Alligator mississippiensis: one gene and its partner. The protein of the gene in region 1 purifies or fractionates together with the protein of each later gene. This does not show direct contact. Links are inferred from orthologs where the notes say so. Each region holds a gene or a part of one and is shown on either strand. Other genes may lie near its edges.

What was found.
Region 2: the proteins of EIF3L (region 1) and EIF3B purify together in Homo sapiens (affinity purification with mass spectrometry; 8 studies listed by BioGRID and IntAct, counting the BioPlex papers as one, with this or other methods). This does not show direct contact. The link is inferred for Alligator mississippiensis from reciprocal best matches to the Homo sapiens genes EIF3L and EIF3B.

What each region holds. Positions count from the first base shown.
Region 1 is NC_081827.1:99,958,561-99,966,558, reverse strand, and holds the start of EIF3L (eukaryotic translation initiation factor 3 subunit L), read left to right. Parts: upstream 1-4,981; 5' UTR 4,982-5,151; coding exon 5,152-5,184; intron 5,185-5,269; coding exon 5,270-5,318; intron 5,319-5,415; coding exon 5,416-5,626; intron 5,627-6,947; coding exon 6,948-7,027; intron 7,028-7,998. Other genes in the region: ANKRD54 (ankyrin repeat domain-containing protein 54), read right to left, coding at 1,027-1,151, 1,268-1,315, 1,719-1,790, 1,982-2,080, 2,510-2,557, 4,315-4,537. UniProt on the Homo sapiens protein: Component of the eukaryotic translation initiation factor 3 (eIF-3) complex, which is required for several steps in the initiation of protein synthesis.
Region 2 is NC_081836.1:51,167,539-51,174,511, reverse strand, and holds the start of EIF3B (eukaryotic translation initiation factor 3 subunit B), read right to left. Parts: upstream 3,006-6,973; 5' UTR 2,978-3,005; coding exon 2,551-2,977; intron 1-2,550.

The sequences.
Region 1 (7,998 bases):
ACAGGGCTATTTGTAGCAGCACAGGCTAATGTGCTGTCAGAAGTTAGACCACTAGTTGATCACACATACATCATACTCAGATTAGAATTCATTGATCTACTAGCCCACATATAGCTGTTAGAATGAAGCAGCCATACAGGGTCACCTTGGGAAGCAGTCAATATGGCAGTGCTGTGGCCAATGCAGAGCAATTCTTAACTGTGCACTAGTCCTTCACTGACTGATTGTGTTGGAAACATCCAAGGACAGTTCTACAGAGTCTTCTCTCCTGTCTGTCAGCCAGACAGTGTGAGCACTGAGACCTGGAACAGTTTTGTGTTCAGTGCAGTTGGGCCTACACCACTGGAGAGACCCTGCAAAAACTCAGTGGAAGCATTTAAGAAAAGATTCTCCAAACACAGGGCGCAGAGGAGCTGTCAAAGTGAGGAAGGAGGAAGGTCAGGGACCACATCAGAGTAGAGATCCTAAGGCAGGAATGAGCAGCTCAGACTTCACTGAGGGCCACTTGCTGGGTACACATTCCAGTAGAGAGCTGTCACAGTGGAATCTACTCTGCCCACACAGGAGCCCTTATCTTTACAAGCACAAAACTGAACTATACATGCATATGCATGAACAGATTAGCAAATGGCTGCATAGCATGGATGCAGGACTCATTTGCTTTCCACATCCTAATAAAAATTTTTGAGGGGGCAGCCTGTGGGCTATATGGTGTGCACCCTAACAGACTATTAAACCTGTTACTAAACATTACCCCTATTACAGGGATGCAGTGGCAGCCTGGCTAAGGCACCTTGCTACAGTTCTAGAGTTGTGTTCAACTATTGTGCTGGATGTGATGCTAGCCACTTCACTCCCTCATGTGCCATTGCCTAGAGAAACTGGTATGCCTTAGCCATAGTAGCCTGATATGCTGCAAGGCTCAGGGTGGACCTTTGAGATCTTTTCCCTAGGGGGTGTAGGACAGAATGTCAATGCTTGAGACACAGATTCCCTGGAGGAGCAGACAGCAGGAATGGTTCTTACTTGTTTCACTTCAAGGCGCACAGCCTCCAGGCTCTGAGACAGCCCTTCCTGCAGGATGTTCAGCTTGGATTTGGCCAGGTGCAGAGGTGTCCTCCCAGCTCGGTCTAGGGCATCTACTCTGGCCCCTGAAAGATGCAAAGAGCAAGAGAGAGGGGGAGGTTGGTTTTAAAGAGGCAGCATCCTCAGGGAACATCATGGAGAAGGTGGTAACTTTTTATAATTTGCAAAGAGGAAGTGTTACCTCCGCGGAGCAGCGTGGTGATGACAGGAACGTGATTTGTGCAGGCAGCTGGGGAGGAAAAACAAGACACACAACTCAGTGAAAGGGATTCTGCTCTAGTCCAGAGCCTGCTGGGCACAAACACTCAACATCTGACAGGGCTCTTTGTAGTTGCACACAGGAGCACTTCCATTTGAAGTCAGCCCAGAAATTTACTTCCATCTGGATAGTTTCTTCTTCATCAGAGCCAGCAGGAAGAACGTGATACACTTCCCTCTGGGAAGCCTGGGACCCTGAAGGCTTCAGTTAAAAACAACAGAGCAAATAGGATCTAAAGAGCATCCCTCCCAAGTCTTCAAAAATAGGCACTGGTTGCCAGGATGCACAGGTGTAAAAAGGGAAATGGGTGGGATTTCTTTACCTTTGTTTACAAAGGTTACAGAAGATACCATTTCAGGTTCCAGACACTTACCCAAGTGTAATGGAGTGTTCCCCAACCCATCTCTCTGATTTGGGTCTGCGCCATGGTCCAGAAGCAACTGCACTAGAAACAATGAAACAGACCAATTTCAGTCTCTTCCCTTTGCCTCTCAAGTCTGCGATGATCTTAAGTAGTATGTATCGCGCCATGGATTGCAACAGAAATCCTGATTCTACACAGATGCAGAATTGAATTGGATTCCTCTGCTGTCCCTCCCTGAGGACGCTGGATCATGAACACCTCCTCCTACTCACCAATGCGGTCATTGCCATTGCAGGAGGCAAAGTGCAGGGCTGTACGGCCTTTGTCATCCGCAGCGCAGGGGTCAACCCCATCCTCCAAGAGTTGCTGCACTGACATCACCGAGAGACAGAGATGAGAAGAGAGTGTGAACAGAGTGAGGACCCTGACTGGTGCAGCAGCTATGACATGTTTGGACAGAGATGGGAATGAGGGAAAGAGATGAGGAAAGGGGTTCCCCTTGTTCCTCTCTACAACCAGCTGTCTCATACATGCTAATGGTAGAACCTCAAGGGGTAATCAAGTTGTTATCAATCATTTCACTGGTGTGAGGAGGCACAGAACACTGCAAGATTCAACACACAGGGATATCAGTATGGAACACTGGTTTTACAGCTGTGACATAGCAAAGGCAGACATCGCTCCAGACCAGTCCCGCTATGTCCAAACCCTATTTCCTACTCCTTTTCCTGAAGATGCCCAATCCAAACCTGCCCTTCCAGAGCAAAGTTTGGAAATAAGCCCACCTGGTGAAGTCTCACCTGTGTCTAGGTCATTAGCATTGGCGGATTCTCTCAGCCTTTTCAGAGCTGTGAAAATGAGAAAGAGGTTAATGGAAACTGAACAGGGATGGTTTCCTTGTCAGATGCTTCTACTTAGCTCAAGAATAAGTTAAGGGACTCAATCAAACACGGGCTTGACTCCTCCAGGAGAAAGGGATAGGTGAACAAGCTACTGAAAAAAAAGATTTAATGCTTTTCTTTTAGAGCTGCTCATAAACCTTTCCTTTGGGAGAGCACTCCCAGAAGAAGTTCCCTTCAGGATCAACTTTAAAGGCAAAATTAACTCAAATGAATGCCTTTTCCTAACTCCCCTGCACAGCTAATCTTAGACACCACTATTTCCTCCCTGCTCCACCCCTGGAAGGCAGAGGTAGTCTGACAAAAATATTTTTGTTGGCATGCAAGGCTACAGAAAGACCTTCCACCCAGACTCTGAGACGGTGCTGAAACATCTGACCTTGGCTGTGTTTTTTCTTCCATGACCCTTTGCCTGCATTGTCTCAGTGACACATTTTCCTATCCCCCTTTTTCCTTTCCTAAGCACCTGACAGATTATTTCCTTACTTGTTAGTTGAATCTTTTACATTCTTTTCAATTCTTGGCACAAGTGTCAGAAAGGGATTGGAAGGGATTGCACTGGTCTGGCTGACAGCACCTGAGGGGTTACGGTTTTCCTTGGGGGATGCCATCTTCTGCACTTGGAATCTACCTCTTGGTCTCTTAAAAATGTGCCTCTCACCTTTAACCGTTGCACAGGGATGGGTCAGATTGGAGGTGGGGGGAATGCTGTACTCATACCCCGCTTTGATGCCTGCTCCACCTGAAGTTAAAAACCAATTGCCTGGCAGTGGCAGCAGCATTTGTAGTCAGGCAGTGCTGAGGAAGCCACTTGACTTTGTGGATGCTTATCTACATCATCCCTTCTAAACTGTCCATTCCACAGGCCTTAATGACCCTGTTCTTTTTAATGGTCTGGATGCCTATGGACAACTGCATGAGCCAGCATGATTAATTGCGCCATTCACGCTGGAACCTACTGACAAGTCCACCCACCCAGCGAGCCTTTGTTCTGTAATTCTGCTGCTTGTCTGCTGCTCTGGGTCACCAAGCTTCAATTTCACAGCCCGGCAGACTGTTTTTGCTTTAATCTAACATCACTGGAATGAGTTTAAAACAATCTCAAACTGAGCAAGGCAGCCCTCAGCCCTGGCAGATTAGTAAAGCTTCTAGTGTCTTTGTAACTGGAGAAAAACCAGTGTTGTGTTGCACGTGATGGCACCTCGCCCTCCGTACCCCACTTTTCAAAACCTGAGTCCAGCCCATGGGCACAGGGACCCGCAGCCTGGTGCACTCCTCTGTCAAGTGGAGTTATGAGCGGGCCCACCACTGGCGTGACTAGCACGGCCTTCACTCTGGAGCCCACTGACAACCACAGGAGCCGGCACAACTCACACGGCGTTCACTCTGGAACCTACCAACAACTAGGCAGGTGGGCACAACGAGTGGCAACGCTCACTCTGGAACCTAGAGACAACCACACGGGCCGGCACGACTGGTGCAGCGTTCACACTGGAACCTGCTGACAACTGCATGAGCTCGTGCAAGCAGCATGGCATACGCTCAAACCTACTAGCAACCGCACAAGCTAGCGGGGCTGGCATAGTTCACTCTGGAGCCTACTGACCATCGCCCCGTTCCCCCAGGCAGCTGCACGGCTGGCATGGCGCTCACTCTGGAGCCTACCGGCAACGCAGCCGCAGCGCCCCCGCCCGGCCGGCCCTCACCGTGGATCTCCTTGCCCGTGGGCCCCAGCTTGCAGTGCAGGCGCGCGGTGCGGCGCAGGCGGCGCGCGGGGATCTTGCCGGCCGGCGAGTCCCGCTGCCACAGCACGTGCAGGCAGCCGAGCCCCGCCGCGCCGCCCTCCGGCCCCAGCCCCAGCGCCCCGCGCGGCGCCTCCTCGCTGCCCCCGGCCCCGGCCCCGGCCCCGGCGGCGCCGCCATCCTCCATCGTTGCCGCCGCCGGGCCCAGGCCGCGCGGACATAGGGGGCGGGGACTAGCCCGTCACTCCGGCAACGAGGGTGGGGCGAGCTACTCAGACCCAGTTTAGCCAATGAGCGGCCCGGCCGGCGATGACGCGAAGCCAATCAGCCAAACCTGGAGGTGGAGGCGGGGGGATGGGGAAGGAAGAGGCAACGAGAAGTGGGTGACGTAGCCAGCGCTTCGCCCAATGGCAGAGCCGAGCCAATCGCAGAGAGGATGGGGCGGGGCGGGGCGGGGCAGACGACGGGAACTGCGTCACCCACCGGAAAGCCTCGACGCGCCGCTTCCTTCAGCCAATCGGGGGGCGGGGCCGCACGAGGGAATGGAAGAGGGAAGCTCTCTAAGAAGGGAGGAGGGCTCAGGCGGGAGGGGCGGGGCGAGGAGGTGGTGAAGTCCCGCCCCTCCCGGCTGAGCCTGCTGTCCTTCCACTCTCCGTCAATCGCCGCGCGCGATAGTGCTGCGTCCGCCCCCTGCCTTCAACCGCCGCGCCCCGCACTTCCCTTCTGCGTCGCGGCCCTTTTGGTCCCGGCCGCGTTCCCATCCGGGCCCCTTTCCTCGACGCACCCGCCCGCGCGCTTGCCATGGCCTACCCCGGCGAGGACTACGACAACGAGGTGCCGGGGGGCGGGGAGGGCCCAGGGGGCTGGGGCTGGGGCTCGGGACCTCGTGGTGACCCTCCTTCTCCGCCCCCCTCCACAGGCCTCCTACGACCCCTACACCTACCCCGGCGACTATGACATGCACACGGGTGAGTCCACGCGCGAGGCCGGGCCGGGCCGGGCCGGGGGGAGCTGAGGCGGGCAGGGCTGATGTGGCGCGGCCCCCGCCCCCTTGTCTGTCCGCAGGAGACCCGAAGCAGGACCTGGCATACGAGCGGCAGTACGAGCAGCAGACCTACCAGGTGATCCCCGAGGTGATCAAGAACTTCATCCAGTACTTCCACAAGACTGTCTCGGACCTCATCGACCAGAAGGTGTACGAGCTGCAGGCCAGCCGTGTCTCCAGCGACCTCATCGACCAGAAGGTCTACGAGATCCAGGACATCTATGAGAACAGGTGCCCCGGGCTGGGCTGGGCTGTGCTGCTTGGGAACGCTCCTCCGTCCCACCCCCACACGCAGGGCCCCCCTGTGCTGCTTCAGGCAGTGCTGAGGAGCAGCCCTGACCCAAATCAGGGGTTGGTCTCAAACAGCGGCTCCCAGCCAGGCCGCCACAGCCTCCTGGGACACTGAGATTGTTGAGTGGAGCCACAGGCCCTGTGCCATGTTAGTGCCGTTCAGTGCATGCACGTGATTCACAAAATGAATCCGGTAATTTTGGAGAAAAGTCCATAGTGTTACAACCCTTCTGCCCCATTACAGCTTTGAGTTCTGCAGCAGAAAAATGGCTCTGTTTTTTTGCCATGGTCAAGCAAGTGGAAGCTTAAGAGCTGGCATTTCTGGAGGGGTGCCATGAGTGAGCCCCAAGGAGGGGGATGTTATGAGTCTAAAAAGGTTGAGGGATGCTGTTTAAAATCCAGGGTTGTGGCTAGATTTAAGTAGCTGACGAGGATAAGATCTTATCGTTCCAAGTCATTGGTTCCCAAACTTTGACAGATGGTGCACCCCCAATTTAGAACAATGCAACCATCAGTACCACCAGCAAATCTTTGTCACGTAAAGTAATTATAATAAATCTGTTAACACGTACCACTGACAGGTTGTCTGCGTACCACTGGTGGTACCCATACCACAGATTGGGAACAGCTGTTCTAAGTCATTTGTTTCCCTCAAGCCAGACAGGTAGAGATTATAGGAAAGTGGCACCAGTTAGCCCACTTGATCAGGTCAGCAGAAATGCCGAGAGTTGAAGAAACCTATGCAGCACTTGCTATCGTTATCCTTTCCAAAAGTGGCTTCTGTAGCTTGTGGCTGAAGTATGCAGGCAAGCAGCGCATGGTATATGTGAGCAACTTACAATTCTTTTCTGGACTCTGAGGATAAAGCTTGCCCAAATTTATTTATGAATCCAAAACAGAAAGGGCTTTAACAAGGCATGTTGTCTAAATTGGAAATGTCTTTTAATTCCCTCCCTCTCTCACTGAGAAATTAATGATACCAGGAGTATAAAAGATACAGCCCATATAGTCCTGTTACACAGCCTGCAATGTTGCCCGTGGATTTCAAATTGCTGACATGCGGCGTTCACGGGACCATACCTTTTGGGGCTGCATACGGTACACGTAGCATCCTGGATACAGTGCATGGGGCCAGTCTGTGGGCCTGATCTAGCTTGCAGATTGGATCCAAGCCACTCATCTGGCCCACAGGGCCTGATGAGTCTGACACCTCCAAATGTATACAGTCTCTAAATTTAACTACGTGTGATTTATCTTGCAGCTGGACCAAGCTAACAGAAAGGTTTTTTAAAAACAGTCCTTGGCCAGAGGCAGAGGCCATTGCACCACAAGTTGGCAATGGTAGGTATTTTGTTCCTTTTTGTTTTGGTCATTTGGGAAAGAAACAAAGCAACTTCTTCAGGAAGAGGCCTAGTTGAAATTTCTGACCCACTCCATAAGGCCCTAACTTTGACCTGTTTATTGGGGGGGCCAAAAGTTTGAAGACTAGTACTGTACTTGTATATCCTTCCAAAATCATCTCTGTGGCCATATGATGAAAAATTGGAGGAGAGGGATGTAATCTGACACTTCTGGATCGGCAGGCTACTGTTCCAAGAGTTTTGTAGAGGAGATAAGTTGTTCTTGCTCTTGGCTTGCTCAACTTCTTCCTTTCTGTCTTTTTTTTTTTTTTTACATAGAGAAAGTAGAGACTTGCAGTCTCCTTTATTTTGACATCCCCCACATGCTAAACTGGTAGACAGTGACCTTAGTATTTCCTCATACCATATTTTTCCACAGATGTTGTTTATACTGGTGTTATTATTTTTTCTCTCCTCATGTCTCCATTCTTCCTTATTTTCAAATTCATTCTCTCCCTACCTGTATAAACTCAATGCTGTACTGCTCAGGGTGAGGGCTGTCTGTAGCTAGAGAGATGTTCTTGTAGTCAGAGCACATGCACAGAGCTGCTGCTTTCTCACCCTTTGCTTACTGCTGATGCTGTGGCCATCTCTTCAAGTTGCCTGGCAGGAGATTGGACTTGAAAGTAGAGGTGCACTGATACATCAGTCCGATATTGGATTGGCACCGATTATAACGAAAATGATCTGTCGGAAATTGGCCGTAAGTGGCTGATAATTGGGCTGATTAAATGCTCTTACATGTGTGCAGCTGCAGTGCAGCACGTAAGCAGTGAAGACAGTGGCAGTGTGGAGAGCTGCCAGCTGGTAAGTCTGCTGTGGTAGAAGGGGAGGGGGAGGAAGGGATGTTGGGGGGGAGGACAGATCAAGGCCCCTGCGGTGAGGGAGGGAATGAAGCAGGGGTGGGGCAGG
Region 2 (6,973 bases), on another chromosome or scaffold:
TTCAAAGAGTTCATATTTTTCTACAGAAAAAATTAAGAGCAAAATGGAAGCATTTCCAAAAGTGGAACAAGAAGGTAAGATACCAAAGAAGAGATGCAAGTCAGTTTAGAGTCAGGTGGAACAATTTCCTCCTGTGAAGTCATTTATTTCTCCTAACCCTTTTCAAAACTAAAGTTCCCAGAAAAAGTTTCCCAGATACCTGGAAAAACTAAGTAATTCATTATGTTGATAGGCTTTCTGTAGGTCTGCTATCTATATCTGCCTGCTCTGTCAATCAGGACTGAATTAAGAGGTTTTACATCCCGTACAATCCTAAAAAAGCAAGTACACAAAAAATAAGCTGGTGTAACCAGTTCCTATACCACCCTCCAGAAACAAGAGGGAGGGGTGTGGTCCAAGATGCTGTGGTCCAGCTAGCCTCACCTAGTGAATACTCCATTGGGGACCATCAACAACAGGTTTCCTTGGGTCTAACTGGTTCACTGTGACCACCCTCTTTCCCAACCTGAACTTGACACAGCAGATGATCCGGTCTACTTAATCCCACTTCTTGCTGGATGAAGGCCAAGTAAGAGGAATTCACTGATGACTCGGGTCACAATCAGCAGTAAAAGAGCAATGAAACGAAGTGGAGTGATCCTCAAATCATTTTCACATAATATAGGAACAGGCACTGAAGATGTTGAAACAACCATGATTCATCACAAATATGGTATTAGCCTTAATTCAGTGAATTGGGATGGAAATATCACTCAATTTCTCCTTCAAAAAGAGTCAACTCAACTACGATTGAGTTGGGAAGTTGGGAGGAACTACTTTCCTTTCAAAGGAAAGTAGTTTTCAAGAAGCAGATGGCCAAGTATAACCACTGACAATGATGCAGGAAAAGACAAACCTGTCCGGGTCTGGAATAGAGGTTAAAAATTTATCAAAAACCCAAACTCAGCATACAGACAAAATAGGTCTCTCCCAAACTCCTAATTAAATAAAAAGCTTCTAACCACATACTCTCCAAGCAGTTTTGCACAATGGTTCTGTTCAGTTGCACAAAGCTGTTTTAACCAATGCATAAGTTTACACAAAGATAGCAACACCAGTGTCAGAACAGTAAATACTGGTTCAGTGCACAGCTGCTTACAGAATCCATGTCTCTGTGCAGTCTCACCTGGGTCATCAAGACCCCTCTATGAAAAAGAAGAGAAAAAAAAAAAAGAGAGAAGTATTCAACTCGTAGGGAGAGGGGAACACCCCCCAGAAGCTGTACTCCTCTCAACTACGCATGGGGGGGGATAGATACGCACAGCCATTCTCTACATAACCTTGATGTGGAACCGCCAGTACTAAACAGAGGAGTCTCTGATATTTCCTTAAGAGGTGAGCTTTGGGCAGATCTTCTCGACAACGCCTGGACCCTTCCCAGCCTCACCATTTCTCACAGTGCTTTATAACTCCAAGGTCTTAGGTCACCTGTGCTCTTCCATCCACACCAACTCCAGACATCCTCAGCCTTCAGAAGGGTATTTATCCCCAAAAGCTTGCAAAGAAGAATTTTCCCAACTACTTGAGTTGGTCTAAATAAAAGAAAATCAGACTGACACAAAGAACCTTGTCTGCTTGTGTCCTTAGACCAACCCGCACCCTCAAGTCACCTGAAGGCTCACCGAGGAGCTGGACAACGTCCCAAATCGAGGGATTGCCAACAACGACGCAGCAAGCTCCGAACAAGCGTCACTGACGTTTGCCCGACGTGCCTTACACGGTCCCTGGGTTAGAACCGTTTCTAACTCCAGTGAACCACGGGGCCGGCAGAGGACGCGATCAAACCCTCCCCGCCACTGTCCTGGAGCGGAGAACGGGGAGATACTTACCTCTCCTTTCTTACTTCCAAGACGCATTTAGCGGCAGATACTTACCTCTGGTATCTTACTCCCGAGATACGTTTAGAGAGACCCGTGCAGAGCACGGACAGGACCAGCCCAGGCTGGAGCGAGTTGGCAACTCTGACCCTATTCCAGGAGGTTTCATCACACGATGGCGGGACATGACGGACTTCACGTCAGGAAGGCAAACGCAGTCACTATCACATTTCAAAACCCCACCGGCCCGCTGCATAAATCCAATTCAACACCGAACGTTTGTTTGAACACAGGCCCCATCGTCGATCTCCTAAGGGGATAGTTTCTCAGCCTGTGGTACGCGCACCCCTGGGGTACACGGGTACCCCAGCGCTCTCTCACCCCTTCCTCCTCTCAAAACCACGGCAAAAAATTCGGCACGCCGCACACGGCACGGCGCTTTGAAATCCCCAGGAATAACCTAGCGTTCGTCCCTCCTAGCTGTGGCCAACATCCCCTCTAGCCCAGGCACGTCGAGTCGCGCACCCCTAGGGTAAGAGGTGGCAGCCTTCGTATCACCCACCGACCCACGCTGCATCGGACACCCGTCGTGTCACGACCGCAGCCCTTCTTCCGACGCGTGGCACACGTCACTCTGCAAAGATACCCCCCCCCGGAAAGCTGAGTGGGGGGTAGGCATTAAAAGGCCACCCACCTTCCTCGCTGATGTCGTCCACGAAGTCCTCGGGGTCGCTGAAGGAGATGTCATCCTCCTCCTCTTCTTCCTCCTCCTCCTCCTGCTCCTTCTTCTCCTCCTGCTGCTCCGGGGACGGCTCGGCCTCGGCCTCAGTGCTGGGCTCCGGCTCCTCCGCCTCGGCCTCCTCCTCGGATTCTACCTTGGGCGTTTCCTCGGCTGCGGTCTTCTCCTCGGCGGGCGCGGGCGGCTGTTCCTCCTCCTCCTCCTCAGGGCTGAGGCGGCCGGGCAGCCCATCGGCGGCGGGCGGGTGCTCCGGGGACCCGGGCGGCGCCTCAGCCTCAGCCTCGACCTCCTCCTCCTCCTCCTGCTGCTGCTCCAGCGGGAGCGGCGCGCCCGGCTGCTCGGGCTCCTCGGCGGGCGCCGGGCTCTCCTCGGCCTCCTGCATGGACGGGTCGCTGCTGGGCCGCGCTGCGGAAAGAAAGGGGGAGGGGCAGCGCTGCGCACGGGCCATGTGCGCGACTCCCGGCGGCCACCGCGACGCGGCACGCACCAACTCCCGCGGGAGGGGAAAGCGGATTGTTAGGGGTTTTTTTATTTTGATTCACTCGAATCTCAACACACCGCCTCCTATGCACGTGGAAGGTAATACTTGATCTCTAGTTACACCTCCATTCTCCTTTTTCTCTTCCCTTCCGTAGCAGCTTTTATTCCTGCCCTGCAGGGGTGTGTCCTCCCCACCCCTATTTCATTCGACATCTTGGTTCATTCCAGCATGGCGGCCTCTTCCCTTCACCCGCCTAAGGTGGGGTCCGACTGAACCATCTTTGAGTGGAAAGGGGGGGTTGGTGGTACCTGCGCATTTCCCCCCTGCGTAGATCCAAAGGGAAGGTTGGGTCCCTCCGTCTATTTAAATGCCAGTGGTGGCGTGAAGGCGGCTGTACAGAGTTTAGGACACGGATTGATGTCCCACCAATTCTGTGCGATGGGTTCGTCCAAAGGCGAGGGGTGGTGGGATTGAGTGTGTGGGCGCTACCACCTTCATCAAAGGGGGGGTGCACAAGGACAATTCGAAGGTGGTAGGGTCCGCCACATCAGCCTAGCCTGCAGTCTCGTGGTCGGAAAGGGGCTGCCTCCCCTCCAGGTGGCCATGACACTAGAGGCAAAGCACAAGCCTGAAGTGCTCAGCAGTAGGGACGTGCTGGGCTGTTTGTGTCCAGGGGCCAGTGATCCAGCCCCATCTGGAAGGGCTTCAGATAATTCATAGGACAGCAGCTCTAATCTAGCCAGACCCTAAAGGGCTTTCGTAGCTCTGCACCCACATGGGGCCCAGCCCCTAGCGCAAAGGGCACAGAGACATGCACGGTTCTTTGGGTAAATCTGATGTCTTTTATTAGACCAACTCAATAGTTGGAAAAACTCTTCTTTGCAAGCTTTTGAAGACAAACGCCCATCTTCAGGTGAAAAAAAGAAGGGTGTTTTCACTCAAAAGCTTGCAAAGAAGAATTTTTCCAACTTTTTTTAAGGTCTTTTTTTTGTGTCCCAAGTCAAGTCAGCCAAATTGATTCCAAATGGGCTTCAGATGCAGGTATCGTACATGCAGGCCCAATCCTGGAGGCTTGGGGTTTGGAGGCCTTCAAGTTTCGCTTGCCCTCAGCCGTATGGCGGCAGGAGCAAGCTAGGGAAGAGCCTCCCATTTCCATAAAGTTGGTGTGTAGCCAAGATCTTCCCATTAGGAGTAAAAGTGCGAGGCTAGCTGCGCTACAAGGTACTACTCCCTGCCATGTTGGTCTAATTAAAGATATCACATTTACCCAAACAAGCTTGTCTGCCTACGTCCTTAGACCAACATGACTACAACCAACACCTCCAAGGGCACAGAGAGGCACTTCAGAAGCAATGGAAATGGGATCCAGCACTTCTTTGCCTGTAGCTCAGCAGTGCATCAGTAGCTGAGATATCTGCTGACCCTCTAACTGGTGCAGTGAGAGATACCAACTCCCTCAAAACTATTTAGGATTTAGAGGGATGTCATCCACTTGATGGGTGGTCACATTCAAAAAAGAGTAAAAGTGCAGCTACACTGACCCTCCGCCAGTTTGTGATTTGACAATAGCATTTCCCTCTCTGTCAGAAATTGTCCATCTTTCCACGTCACTGCCAAGGGAGGCTGACTGGTGATATGAGTATTTAGGAGAAACGGTGAAAGGATTCTGCCACAGTCATAAAAGAACAGGAAAGCAAGAGCAATATGTTCTCAAAACTCTTTAAGCCTTGCATATCATTTTAACATCACTGTGATTTCTATAGTGAGGGTGTCCATTTATTTTCCATGTTGGCTACTGAGGTGACAAATAAGTGACTTTCCTAGAACTTGTGGGTCCCTCACCTGCTTAGTGCCACTACAGGTCTGAGGCCAAAAGAAAAAAATAAACATTTTAAAAGGTCCTGTAGTGACACTGTGTGCCATATGCAAGGTCAGTCCACATGTGTATAATTGCCAAGCCACACGATAGCATCCTCGGTGGCTGTGTGCAGTTCCTGTAGTCCACCACTGAACTTAGTGGGCAATCATCAACAATATGCAACACGGCATGTGTTGTGCCACAGTTATAGTCTGGATTGTTGTGAAGACCCCAGTGGTGGAGGTTGGCTGCACACAGACCTTGCCCAGTCTGCAACCTATTCAGCAAGGCCCACTGACAGCATGGCAGATTGGAGCCAGATGGCAGACTGTAACATCTGGGACAAGGAACTGTCACAGCCTGGGGTAGTGCCAGACTTGATGCTGTCCAAAACTTCACTCAATTCAAGAACTGTGAAGGGTTCTGGAGGGGTTCTGGTCTGCGGCATCTGGTGAAAAGTTCTTCATTGCTTTTGGAGGCAGCTTTTCACTCCTTTTTCCAGCGGCGCTCTTGCTACATGAAGTAGGTGGCTGGCTACTTGGTTAGGTGCCATGAGAGGGTGACCTGGTGTTGATGGCTGATGAGCCACTCCAAAATGACAAAGTAGACTCCAACACTTCCAGATGGAATGGGTGAAGTCCAGCTTCTCAGTCATTTCCTCCTATCAAGCTCGGTGAGCTGCTTCCAATGATTCGATCAAGTGATTGGCGACATCTGGGTTGGCAGCTGACTCATACTGCTTTAGCAGGGTGACACACTTGGGATCAAAGCAGGGAGGATAGACTGGGCAGCAGCCACATGGAATGGCCCACAGGCTGCTTTATAAATGGTGCCACAGGGATGACTATAGGCCTCTTCTACCTGAATGCTCTGGGTCGGTATTGTCACATTGCTTCATTCCAATGACTTGCTATACTTCTCCTAATTAGTCTTACAGAAGTTCCACCCTTCTTAGAGCTTTTGAAGATTGGAAGCTGGAGTCTGATGTGGACCAGAGATGGCCTGTGCAGGAAGTTGTCCAAGACCTGGCAAGATGCTGGCTGATGTGCAAAATAACAAATGTAAAGCAGGATGTGAAAAAAGTCTTTGACTTGGTTGTGGATACTATTTTGATTCTGCAATGGACTTGTCTACACAGAGAAATGGCTCGGAATAGTCATTCTGCAGTCACTCCCCATGAGGATTCTCATGTTCTACATCAGTGGAGGCCAACCTTTTTGGCGGGCATATCACAAATTAGCCCTGTGCCCTCCTCAAGTGCCACTCTGATTACTCCTCCCCCAGCCTGATCTGTTGCTCTGTTTTCTGTTCCCAACTCTATCTGCTGCTGTGCTGCCTGTCCCTTCCCTAATCAGCTGTGTGCTACACAGAGGCTGCCTGTGCCACATGTTGTACGCGTGTTGGATGTTGGCCACCCCTTTTTTACTCTAGCAGTTGGTTTTTGGTCCACTTTGGAAATGGAGTTAGCCACATAGTAAAAAGGTATTCTGCAGATTAAGAAAACCCATACAAAGAGTTAATGCTGATGTCAGACCCTATCTTATTTTGCAATCACTTCTGTATGTGGATAATCCTTTGGGGGAAGAAATCGGAAGAATAAAGCAAGGAAAATCCAGCTTTGTAATTTTGTAAATTAGTCACAAGATGTCACCCTAACTCCATTCAAATCCAATTAACTGCTTATTTACTTGCAGTTGCATGTTTACATGTAAGTTCTTAGAGAAAGGTTAACTTTTTTCTCTGAAGTGGGAGATCAGATACTTCAGTATCTTCCAGCTAAATCATTATGGTAGGTTTGATTAACAAGACTTTGATTTTCTAGTTTGCAGCAATAAGCTAACTGAAAGTACCTGGAACAAAGTTTTGCTCCTTTCAGACTGACCCGTGCTCCTTCAATAACCACTCAAGTTACCATAAATACATGACTCTGCTTTCTTCTCTTTGCCTCTATAGTTTGTTCTTGGAGATCTTTTCATTTATAATAGCTATTCTTACTTTCAATTTCTCTCTTTTTTTTTCCCTTTCTGGTATAAATGTTC